Cricetulus griseus: one gene and its partners. The protein of the gene in region 3 interacts with the protein of the main gene of each other region in a pairwise test. Links are inferred from orthologs where the notes say so. Each region holds a gene or a part of one and is shown on either strand. Other genes may lie near its edges.

Region 1 (4,108 bases), about 380 Mb from region 3:
TTGAACTCTGGACAAACACAACTTTTTAGGACTTGGAGACTCATGTATGCCGAATAAGAAGTAGTACTAAACTCTTGACCTGGAATAGGATAAGATTTGAGCTCAGCCCTTGGCATTCGGTGCTCCCTTGGAATGGCAGTTAGGATTAATGCCAGAGGACAAAAGGGCAGGTCGCCCACCCCTCAGAGGCTCTTAAGTATGTCTGTAGTGGTGGGGGTGGAGACAGTGTTTCATTTTGACTTACTTCAAAGGGGAAGCTCTCTGGGGTCTTCCCGGCTGCACCCCGCCCCCACTCCACCAGCGGACCTTGGATACGAACGCCTGGCCCGTGTCCCCGCGCACCCAGCCGCCGAGCCGTTGCGCTTGAACCCACAGAAAGAATCCCAGCTCTCGACGGCAGGGGAGTGGGAGATACTCGGCACGCAAATCTGCTGACCCCCGCCCCGGCCCACCCTGCCCAATCGGCGCCCTTTTAAGGGTTGGGACCCTCTGCGGTGCTGGGTCTCAGTTCTGCGCGGAGGCGCTACAGGTGTCCGCTGGGGACCTAGGCCAGGCTGACTGCCAGCACAACACCGCATAGGAGATTTCTTTCTAGGGAGGCAGAACAGCAGTAGCAGCAGCAGAGAGAGAGGGACAGAAGGGGGCAGCCGGGAGAGCTAAAGCCAGGAACTGCGGTGGGCGAGGGCCGTTAGCCCTTGGCGTGCACCGGATCTCTGGGAAGGTGGGAGGAGACAGTCCCATGGCCTGCCCCCACCCAGTCTAGTACAGTGCCCAGCCCTTACTCAGCCCTCCTGGCGGCTTGACAGGCGAGAATGGGCTGAGTCACAGGCCCTGAAAGGTGTCACAGGGGTGTCGCAACGGGGGTGTGCCGGGTTCTGTGGGGAGAGCCAGTCCTCCCCTCCAGTCGTTCCCAGATGTCATTCTGCCCGCCCAGGCGCTTGGTTCCTGAGTTCCGGGGCATTCCACGGTTACTAAGTTACTGGTTTTTGTTGACTTTTAAATATTTTCTTCTACGGGAGAGGGGGAGGGGGGCAAAAGTCAGGAAAGAGCAAATAAAAGCAAGTCAACATAAGCCCCCCTTCCCCAAAAGAAAGTTGCCCCCTACTCCTCATCCCCACCCAAACAAAACGCCTCTGAAACCCATCCCTTGGCTGGAGCATCAGCCAGCTAGAACTGACTACTTCCCAGGCCCAGTCTTTAGCTCCCTTTCTGGTGAATGAGGGCTGGTGGTGGACAGTCCCTTTGTCTCCCAGCCCTGGGTGGACAAAGGGGCTTCCGGAAAGAGAGAAAGAGGATGGCCAGTGGAAATGGGCTCCCTCCATCCTCGGCCATGGTGGCCAAGCGTCCCTCCGCCCTGGGGCCATTCCCCAGATACGTGTGGATCCACCAGGACACACCCCAGGATAGCCTAGATAAGATTTGCCATGACATCTGGAAGAGAGTTCAGGGCTTGCCGGAGTCCCTGCAACCCAGGACCTCGCTGGAGAAACTCTCGGCGCCGATGACCGCGACTGTCAGCTTCCAAGAAGAGTGAGTAGTGCCCTGTTTGGTTGATTATCAAGGAATGGAGGGAGGGGAAATGAAGTCTGACTTAGGGTTGAACTCTCTCTGGCCAGTGTTAAACTCTATAAACATTTTCTTCATCCCTTAGTATGGGTAGTTTGGAGGAGGGAGCTGGCCACGGTGCTGAAATTCCAGGAGCAAGGGAAGAAACCATTCCTGATGGCTTCTTTCCAGATACTAAGGAGACATTGTCATTCTAAAGGCATAGACAACTAAGATGAAAATCTGGGGTCCTGGCAAGAGTATTCTCACCAAGCCTAGGGGTAATATCACTGTCCCCAGAGGCAACTAGGTGATCTTTCCCCTCTCCCAAGAAAAGTTCAGGCATTGGCACAGATGAGTCTGATGGCTGGAAACCACATCTGGAATCCCCTAATACAGAGAGCAGCTGTCCCATTCAGCATCCACAGAGCTACTGCAAGAGCGCACATCAAAATATTTACTGGGAAGGCATTGACATATTCAGAGGACATAATAGAAAATTAAAGTGCGGGAAGATGACTGTAAATAGCCGGTTTCCCGGATGGGAAATCCCATGTCTGGGAAACACAGAGCTAAGTGTTTCTGCACTAGGAAAAAGTTGAAGAGATATTGTTGGGGCTGGATATTGGAAATGAGAGGAAGGAGCAGAGAGGAAGAAGGGATCTCATTAGGAGAAGGAGTGCATTCGTTTTGGTGATTAATGTCACTGCTGAGTACTCTTTCAAGGCTCTGCACCTTCAAAGTGGGCTGCAAGCGTTAATTAATCCTCCCAGCATCCCTATGAAACAGGTATTAGTGTCCCCATTTTACAGATGGATTAAGTGTTAATAATTAAGTGCCAATTAAAGCCTAAGTGATAATTAAGTGTTGTCTGCCCCCAACACATGCTCCAACTCAGTTCAGAGATGGGGGAACCATTCAGGCATTTATCAGCTGCCTCAGGTTTCAGGGCTCTCTAAGCAATAGCTGAGAGGGAAAGAAAAGTATAGCAGATGCTCAGGTCTGCACTTCCTGCAATCCCTTTGCAAGCTCCTTTGCTTGATGCAGATGAAGGTAGAAGGCATGCTGGCTGCTTCTGCCTCCTCTGCCCTATGCTCAGCAGGACCCGGCTCAGATGGAAATGGCCTTTCTATAGCCAGAATCCTGTGGCTAGTCTTTTCAGTGGCACCGAGCTCCTCTGTCTTGTTCATTGCCATCTGCTCTGGGACAGTGCCTTGGCATGGGAAACCTTGGGGGCTGTACTCAGCTCTCTCAATGGCCAAGGAGCTGATTGTCCACTTTCTGGATCATAGGTCAGTAGCAATTTCCAGTAGATAGCCCCTTCTCTGCCAGGTCACACTGAATTCATGGAGACAGACTCTACTTCCAGTCCACACTTGGCCAGAAATTGAACTAGCCTACCTTTGGCCAGTTGATTCATTCTGTTTGGCCCTGATTTCCTCATCTGCAAATTGAGGATGATGTGCCCTGCCTTGTCAACTCAGAGTCGATAATGAGGGTCAAATGTGATGGGAAACAAAGAAATGAAAGATGCATTATAGAAACAAGACCGCCTTAATATGTAATGCACCGAGTTTTGGGGTGGGAGGGTTACTGCTGTTGGCTTTCTTCTGGAGTTTTCATGTGGTCTCCAAGTCCCAAGGGTGCTTCACACAGCCACCCTAGAGTCAAGTGGGTTGTCTGCTGGGTCCCACACATACTTTAGTCAGAGCTGTTCAGGCTTTTGTTGGTTTTACTACTGGAGTTCTGAGTATGGTTGCATTTGAAAGAGTTTGGTGACTGAGAAGAGACCCAGGAAACCACCTACTTGGAGGAATAAACCACATCATAGTTGTAGCTATCCACCTGGTAGAACACAATGAGAACTTCATGAAATGAAAGCCAGTGCTTCTGGAGTCAGACAACCAGGTTCAGCCCCGCGCTGGATGCAGAACTGTGACTGTATGGTGGATCTTAACTTTGGTCATCTGCCAAATGGAGGTGACAGTAGGGGTTGCTGGAGGTGGCAAATCTGAATCGTTCAATGGTCCTGCTAGTAATTAGGATTCATAAATTCCTTCTAAGAACAGCAGTTATAATTTCTGTAAATCTTGAAATTTTTGCAGGCAAGAGGTAGTACCTTTTCAAATTCCCCATTCTTTTTTCACTATACAAATTTGCAAACCCCCAAAATAAAGGTAGCGAGAGCCTATAGATCTAAATTTTTAATTTTTTTTTAATTTTTTATTTTCTGTGCACTCATGTTTTGCCTGCATATATATCTGTGGGAACCCCATGTTCTGAGTGATGAAGGGTAAACTTTAAAACTAGAGGGCACACCACTGTTTCTTATGTGTTCAGATACACACCTGCTGGGTTTTCCCCTGCCTAATGTGTAGAGTTTTGATGGGGGAGGTCCTTCTGTGCATATGTTTGTCTTATTGGCTGATAAATAAAGTACTGTTGGCCAACAGGGAAGCAAGATAGGTTGGACTAGGAGGGTTCTGGGAAATGTAGTAAAGGGAAGTCTTGTGATCCAGGCAGGAAGTGACATAGCAGGCAGACTTAAAATATAAGCAGGGAC
Region 2 (4,203 bases), on a different chromosome or scaffold from region 3:
GCACTCAGGAGACAGAGGCAGGTGGATCTCTGAGTTCAAGGCCAGTTTGGTCTACAGAGTTCCACAAGAAGCCCTGCTTAGAAAAAAAAAACTTTTATCCAAATGCAGTCATATTCTGGTATACTTAAGGTTAGGGCTTCAACATGGATGGAAAAGGGTTGCACAGATTATCTGCAACTAGAAAGAGGTGGGCTCAGTCATGCTTTCCCAAACCTTGGGGTTGCTTAAGTCTGAGGAGAACAGGACTGACATCAGGAAGTCTCCTAGTGAAGCTGAGGCAGGAAATAAACACGTGTGTATTTACACACACATAATACACAGGTCCGTATTGTACACGCACACATATGCACATGCACAAATACACACGCCTACGTATTGGTACACACACATATGCACAGGTGCGCACACATGTGTAAATGCACACACATACATGCACACGTACACACACCTACGGATAGGTATGCACATGTGCACACATGTACACACACATATTGTAAACATGTACAACACACACCAGGAGGGAAGTGAATATTACAAGTTCTGTCTGAGAAAGGGGATTTGGCAGCTGGCTCCTGGGTAGAAACAGAAGCAGACAAGTGAAAGTACCAAGCAATGAGTTAGGAGGGAGAGGTTATCTAAAATGGGGATAATTGCCTGAGGGGAGAACATGAAAGTCCAGGTTCGGGCAGGGTCTGAACGCTGTGTTCAGCAGACCCAGGTCTCAACCAAACGGCCAACTGTGTCCTCAGCTCAGGTAACCAAGACAGTAGGGGCATCTCAAGCCATGTGGGAAAGGGGTGGGGATGTCTCTTCCGGCTGTCACTATTGGTGAATGTCACCCTGCTAGGTATAGGGCACAGGATGGTTGGGTTTCTGGCCAGAGGGCTGTAGTGTCTCCAGTAGGTGCCACACGCCCGGCTGTCACAGGATTGTCAGTCTTTGCCTCGAGGCTGACAACAGGACAATGGCTCCCCAAAATATGACTCTGCTGGCTCCTGGGTAGAAACAGTCTGCTGCTGTTTACCCAGTGCCGCTTTGCCTCCAAGACCCCCTCTTCTTCGCCGAGATTTGCTTAGTCCCTGAGACCCTGTGTGCCACCAGCCTCCCAGTGTGCAGCCATTTTAATGCTACTCTGACTAAAACAGACCGCCCATCATGTTTCCTCTTGACATTTTGGCTGAGGGGTGTCTTTGGAAGTCAAGTGGGGTCTCCTGGCGTACCCACCAGCATTTCCAGATCTCAAACCTCTCCTGCCCTGTGTGTTCACAACCACTCAGCCTCACATACTTGTCTCATTCTATCTGCTCAGGTATGAAGCGGCCACTGAGCCCATCCCCCTCAAGTGAAAAGGAGCCCCCCACAACTGCAGCATCTGAGTGTCCCCCTCACTCTCCAGAATCATCGAAGCCTAAGCGGGAAAGGAAGCAACCTTCCTACACACTCTGCGATGTCTGCAACATCCAGCTGAACTCTGCTGCCCAGGCCCAGGTGCATTGTGGGGGACGCGCCCACCAGCGGAGGCTTCGGCAGCTCAGCCTGGGCAAGACCTCCACAGGGCCAGGTTAGTGTGGAGTGGCGCTGAGCTTAACACCCCTTCTATAATCTGGGTCTCTTTAAGGGATCCTGGGTCTGATACTGTCAGGTTTTATTTACAGAGCTGAGGTTGTAGCTCGGTGGCATGGCGCCTACCCCGAATGTGGTGTGGGTTCAGCCCCGCAAAAACCAAAGAAAGTTGAAAGTTTTGTTTTGCTTCTGGACAGCTTTCCACGGGATCTCAGGGGATGTGAGAGTCTTGAAGTCTCCTCTTGAGGTCTCTTCAGTTCTAGAAGCTCTCCCTGTGGGTGGTGAGGACATTCATAGCATTTCTTTAGTCTGGAGCATCAGGCAGGGACAGTCTCTCAGACAACCACCTCACTTTCAGAGTGTTCCAGACTCCTGCTTTTCTGGCTGGGGTCAGCACGGTGCACAGCACTGCAGCCAAGGAACAACAGGAGCTGCTCTTCCCGTGGCAGCTGGACTCCCAGCCGGGATTTCTGCCTCTCCCTGGCTGGGGTGACTTTGTAGGGGTTTAGCTGCCAATGCTGGAGGGGCAGCTGGCTGCCATGCAGTGTTCTGGGGGAGATGGGTGAATGCTTCTGTGAGAGTGATGCCTGCTGACAGGCACATGGGGGTCACAAGCTGCAGGCTGGCAGGGAAGACAGATCCACACACAGGCCTAGGAGGGAGAGGCAGGGGGCATTGGTACCCCAGATCCTGGGGATGCCTTGGAGAAACCCACCTTGCAGCCCAGCTGGGTGGTTTTGCCAGAGGCTACCTTGAACCTTGAAAGTTCCTAATCATTGGGTGACATTTATACAGTGCCCCTTTAGCAAGATGGGAGTTGAGACACGCCTCCAGGCCACAAAGGCCTTGGAGGAAGAGGCTGATGAGCGTGACAGGTGAGGGACATTTCAGGCAGAGGTCGTATCCACAGTGAGTGACAGGAAGACTGTGGTAGTGGGGATTAACTCCTCCAAGTAGGCACTTAGAGTTGGACTCCCAAGGCTGTGACTGAGCAATTGGATGGACCCATATTTCTGGAGCATGTAGGACTGGGGTTCAAAGGTCATTCATTTAAGCTGGGTGGGTGTGCACATCTGGAATCAGGATGCTGAAGCAAGATGGATGTAAATCCAAGGCCAGCCTGAATTACATAGCAAGATTGTCTTTTTAAAAGTCATACAATTAGTCATCAAATATTTATTCATCAAATATGTGTACTTATCTGTGGAGGTTCAAGCTGCTGTTCAGAGAACTCGCTTTTTTGTTGTTGTTCAAGACAGAGTTTTCTCTGTGTAGCCCTGGCTGTCCTGGAACTTGCTTTGTAGACCAGGCTGGACTTTAACTCAGAGATCTGCCTGCCTCTGTTTCCTTAGTGCTGGGATTAAAGGTGTACATCATCACCACCCAGTTTTAGGTGAGGGGCTCACATTTTTAAGACTTTCAAATCTGAGAAGAAGAAGAAGAAGAAGAAGAAGAAGAAGAAGAAGAAGAAGAAGAAGAAGAAGAAGAAGAAGAAGAAGAAAGCTGTCTAAATCATTCTACATAAAGATGAATTTATTCTCAGGTAGTAGTAGGCCTTGTAGAGGTGAGTGAAAAAAGTGTCAAGAGAACCCAGGAGAAAGCCAAGTCTGTTGACACAGGCCAGTAATCCCAGTTATTTGAAAGGCAGAGGCAAGAGGATCTCAAGTTCAAGGCTAGCCTGCACTAGAGGGTGAGTTCGAAGACAGCCTGGGCAACTTAGTGAGATCCTGTCTCCATATTAAAGTAATGAAGGTTCAGAGGTAGAGCACTTGCCTAGCCTGCATTAGGCTATGAGTCCAATCCCTGGGTACCAGAGGAAAAGAAGAAAAGGGGCCAGGGGAAGATACTAGAGAAGGGAACAGTGAGTGAGCTGATGTGGGAAGCTCAAAAGCCATGACACCGATGTTGGTTCCTGGAGGTGAAAGGGTCTCACAGGCAGAATCACAGTTAGAGCTGGTACAGGCACCAAGAGCTCCTGGCCTTGCTGGGCAGTGGCCGGTGGAGCCTTGTGCAGGGTACAGGCTGAGCTTGGTTGAGGTAAGCTGGTAACCCCCACAGGGGTCTTCCTACCAGGTTAGCTTTGGCCTTTGATTCAGAGGTGACAGGCTTCACAGCAGCATTGTGACATCTTTCAGATGTCTCCAGAGAAGGATAAGAATGAGACATAGAGATACACGGCCAAGAAAGAAATGGAGTAGGAAAACAGTTTCTGTAGGCTTTTGTGTAGGAGAACTATCAAGGTTTGGTGACCGATGGGCTTTAGGGAGCAAGGGAAAGGGAGGAGGCATGGATGACTTCAGCTAGGCAGGCTCTTGGGGAGGGGAGAGTAGGGCAGTTCAAGTCATTAGAAAGAGGAACCAAAAGGAGAAGAGAGCCTGTGTTGGTGGGGATGGTTTGGGGAATCTCAAAATTAAAAGTCACCAATAAATGGATGCCTAGCACCCCACTCCAGACTGTTAAATTTTAGGCCAGTTAAGTCACCAAGTATCCAGGGTGTGTCAAGAAATCAGAGGCCCTAGGCAGACCCAATGCAAGATGCTGAGATACCCTCAGAGGGATGCTTGGTGCCTACCCTTGGGCACTTACAGCTGGGCAGGGGAAGCAGATATGGGACCAGACCTTCCCATTGGCCATGCTAAG
Region 3 (4,077 bases):
AGTACTGACCCACCTGGTTATTCAACGGGGACACAACAGGTGAATCTCTCAGAAAGATTGGTGCGAAAAATGACCATAAAGCATTGTTCCTGAAATGAAATGAGTCCAACAAGGATAGTCGATTATAATAATGGCAGTCTATTACAGAGTTTATCTAACTGGAATTACATGCCACCTCAAGGACAAGATGGGCTCTTGGGAAACTTTTAGAGATAGTCTTGGAAAGCAGTCCTTCAAAGGAGATCCCAAAGCCATGGGATCAAGGCTAATGAGGCTGGTTCCCTCAGGCGCTCTCTGCGGGGGGGGGGGGGGGGGCGAATTGAGAGTGGGGCAGGAACGGGGAGGGGGGTGAGACAGAGCCTCCCTGTGTAGCCCTTAAACTGTCCTGGTACTTGCTGTCTAGACCCTCACTCACAGAGATCCACCTGCCTCTGCCTCAAGAGTGCTGCTGGGATTAAGACTCCTGGCCCCTCCTGCTCTCAGCAGACAGCTACCCTACCAGTGCCTGGACTGCACTGCCCGGCAGGACCTGGCAGGGGTGACTGACAGCGACCGCGGGAGCTGCATCCACAGCGTCTGTGTGTGGCGCCGGGAGGAAGAGCATGATTTGCACGTGGAAACTGTCTTCCTGTCCTTGAACCAGCCTTCAGAAGTCCCCATGGGCCGCGCTGGAAAAAGGAGGCCGAGATGAGCTTTCCAGAGCTTGGACTGCGACTGTGTACTGCCCGCAGCTCTTGGCTTCCATAGTGCATTGGGCTTGGGAGGTGAGCGCATCCCACGCTGCCCCTCGAGGTACGCACAGTCCCACGCCGATCCTCGCAGTACACGAAGTCCCACGCTGTGCCACGCCGCCCCTCACAGTACGCACAGTCCCACGCCGATCCTCGCAGTACACGAAGTCCCACGTCGTCCCACGCCGCCCCTGGAAGTACGCGCAGTCCCACGCTGTCCCACGTCGCCCCTCGCAGTACGCAGCCCCACGCCGAGCGAGCGGGCAAGCGAGCGTCCCCGGGACCTGCGCAAAAGCGCCTCCTCCTCCTCACAGCCCCCTCCCACGCCGCCCCCCCACCCCCCCAGCTCTCCCGGCCGCGTCGCTGCAGCCCCCGCCGCCGCCGCCAGGGGGAGCGAGTCCCCGACGGGAGCCGCACCGGCTCGCTTCCTCCGAACGCGCGCCTTCCAACTTGAACTTGCGGCGCCTCCTGCCTCTCTGAAGTGTGGAGGGGAAAGATGGAGACCGAGTCACGGGCGGTGAGTGCTGGGGTCTGGGCCCTGCGCGGCGCGGCCTCCGAGGGGTTGGAAGGGTGTGCTTTGGAGCCCAAACGCTGGCTGTTCGGTTGGGGAGGAAGGCGGTGCGCCCCCCCCCCCGCGCCCGCGCTGCGAAGAGCGGCCCGTCGGGTGTGTGAGAAGGGGCGGCCCCGGGGGTCTGGACTCATGTGGGCGGGTGGGTGGCGCGGGGAAACGGCCGGGGACCGCGGGCAGGCTCTGTCCTCCGTGCCCAACGAGCGAGCAAGCGAGCGAGCGGCGGCCCCGAAATGCTTTCCCGCCCAAACTGCGGCGCCCTCGACGCTCGCCCTTCCGGAGCCAACATTCTCGTCGCCCGCGGCCACCAGGCGAGTGGCCGTCGACGCTCCGCCCCGGGGAAAGGCCTGAGCTCGGGAAGGCCGCAGCTAACGCGCGCCGCCCCCGGGTGAGGCCTGGGCCCGGCCCGGGGCCTACGGGCCCCAGCGCAGCCTGGTAACGTGCCGGCCGCCCTGCCCCGTGCCGGCAGACAGCCAATCAGCGGGCGCCAGCGCAGGGCCGCGGCCCGCTGCGCACGAGTCGGCCGGCGCGTGGTCGGTGCCGTTGAGGGTTCCCGCCACCGCTGCTGGCGGGTTTGCCTGGCAAAATTTCTCGCTGGCTCGCCTTCTTTTCCCTCCCGCACTTTGGTGGGGAGGGGGGGGATCCTCGTGTCGGTGCCTCGGTTCACGATGACCCGAGAGAACCCGACGAAGTTGTCACTTCGGCCATTTCCCCCATCGCCTCCACCTGCTGGCCTCAGAGGGGAAGGAGCACCGAGGCGGTGACTGCGACGGTTAGCCCTCCTCTTCCTTTTGTCCTCGCAAAGACGGTCGGTCCCTTTCTCGGTTAAGTCCCAGAGAAGGAGGCAGTGAGGCCGTGTTACTGCGGAAGAGTGTCCTAATAAACTTGTTAGTGGCCAAGCTTTACAAGGAAGCAGAGAACCCATACTAACAACCGGGGAGCAGCCCCTGCCTCCATGCTTTCAAACGGTTGACAATGAGAGGTTCCCCGTGTTAGAGCCACCGCTAACCTCTAAGGAACTTAGATATTACCGCTATCCAAGACTTGTGGCTGCGAACAATACAGCGTGTTCTAGAATATTGCTGGCACTTCGGGCCTTATCTAAATGTCCAGCACATGCTAGGCAGATTTCTCCTGGAACAAATGTCTGTCAGTTTTATACATTCAACAAATACTCCTTGAACACTTGCCATGTCGTGTCACTGGTTTACACGTTGCAGTGTTTTAAATATAAGTATATATTACTTATAAATATACAGGCAAACTTCCTGCCCTTGTGAATATTGTAGCATAGTGCAAAGCGGTAGATAAATATATATTAAATTAGAAGGTGATAGATAATAAAAAAATTAAGCAGTTGGCATCCACAACAGGAGCCTTTAAAGGAGCCTTTAAAAACAAGGGAATCAAGTGAATTGGTTGTTTAAAAAATAATTATTTTTTCCCCCTCGGTGAGTAACCTGAAGTCTCTTCATTGGGACTGTTTTCATCAACCTCTCACAAGAAAAATGATGGAGTTTGTCTTCTTATTTAAACGTGAGGACAAAATATAACTTCGATAGAACTCGAACTCTTGTTTTTAGAGAATTTTCTGGAGACTTTTTTATTATTAACAAGTTCTGTACTGTAAATAAATGGGCAAAGAGACAAGGTTATATCTATTGAAGCTAGATGATTTTCTCTGGTAGTACAATGTTTTCTAGAATATCATTGGTACTCTTTACAACTGGAGATTCCCTTTGTTGAAACAGAAATAACTATCATTTCTATTAGTATTACATACTACTATCCATCTCTGTTTCTTTCCATTTTCTAACATACCATATATTATATTTAGCTGTTACTTTGTACAATGATATAATATTCAAGAGGACAGCGAATTTGTCTTTTTTATTTTAATCATAGGAACATCTAAAATAATGGGTTTTGTCAGCCAATAAAATGAAAAAGGACAAATATAGAAAAGAACTACTATACCATCTAAATTAAAACTTCATCGAGATATTTCTTAACGAATTATGAACTTGAGTATTTTTGAAGAAGTTAGTATGCTAGGCTGTCTCAAAAGTCTATTTAGTCTTCGCAGAAAGAAATAATAGGCTTTTTTTAATGTGTATCTTGATTTTTTTCATCGTACAGTTCAAGTCTGTTCAGTTGCCATTATGCAAAATCTTATACATTGATCTTGACAAGCCTTCCAATTTAGAAGTATGAACATGATGGATATATACTGATCTCAATTCTTCATCGTGTAAATGTATAGTTAAGTGTTTAGATGTGTAATTTTTCATAATGTTTAGGTATGTAAAATTTTCACTGATGAACCCTGGCTGGACTTAAAGTCACAGAAATCTACCTGCTTCTGCCTCCCCCACTTCACCCAGCTAGGTATGTAATTTTCTTAAAGATCAGTCTAATTTTCAAGAAGATTCATGCATTTTAAATTTTGACTTTCAGGCTAGAATTATGCAAATGTATTAATTTGTCAGTGCTCTTTAGCCAAAGACTACCAAGAACACATCTGTAATTGAGTTGTGTCTGTGAAGTCATTGGAACTAGGAAGAAAGTACACCTTTGGTCCTCTCTGGTGTTAAGAACTTGATTTATGCAATATAAGCTTGAGACTTTTAGACAGGATTTCGGGGAGAAAGGCTTATCAGTATTCAGACATGATTAAAGAATGCTTCTTTTTCTTTTGGTCCATTGTAATTTTAGTGACTTCATCTGGTGTTGATCTTCTTTAACAAAAGAACAGAACTGCTGGGTGCCAGGCCAGCT

Evidence for each region. The genes of interacting proteins can lie anywhere in the genome.
Region 1: the proteins of protein boule-like (region 3) and CUNH1orf94 interact in binary tests that used the Homo sapiens proteins (3 or more experiments, as listed by UniProt). The two-hybrid records come from large-scale screens. The link is inferred for Cricetulus griseus from reciprocal best matches to the Homo sapiens genes BOLL and C1orf94.
Region 2: the proteins of protein boule-like (region 3) and Znf385c interact in a two-hybrid assay, tested with the Homo sapiens proteins (2 studies listed by BioGRID). The two-hybrid records come from large-scale screens. The link is inferred for Cricetulus griseus from reciprocal best matches to the Homo sapiens genes BOLL and ZNF385C.

The regions. Positions count from the first base shown.
Region 1 is NC_048595.1:25,030,283-25,034,390, forward strand, and holds the start of CUNH1orf94 (uncharacterized protein C1orf94 homolog), read left to right. Parts: upstream 1-1,216; coding exon 1,217-1,530; intron 1,531-4,108.
Region 2 is NC_048600.1:113,701,034-113,705,236, reverse strand, and holds the start of Znf385c (zinc finger protein 385C), read left to right. Parts: upstream 1-1,311; coding exon 1,312-1,561; intron 1,562-4,203.
Region 3 is NC_048595.1:409,763,746-409,767,822, reverse strand, and holds the start of protein boule-like, read left to right. Parts: upstream 1-1,227; coding exon 1,228-1,248; intron 1,249-4,077. UniProt on the Homo sapiens protein: Probable RNA-binding protein, which may be required during spermatogenesis. May act by binding to the 3'-UTR of mRNAs and regulating their translation.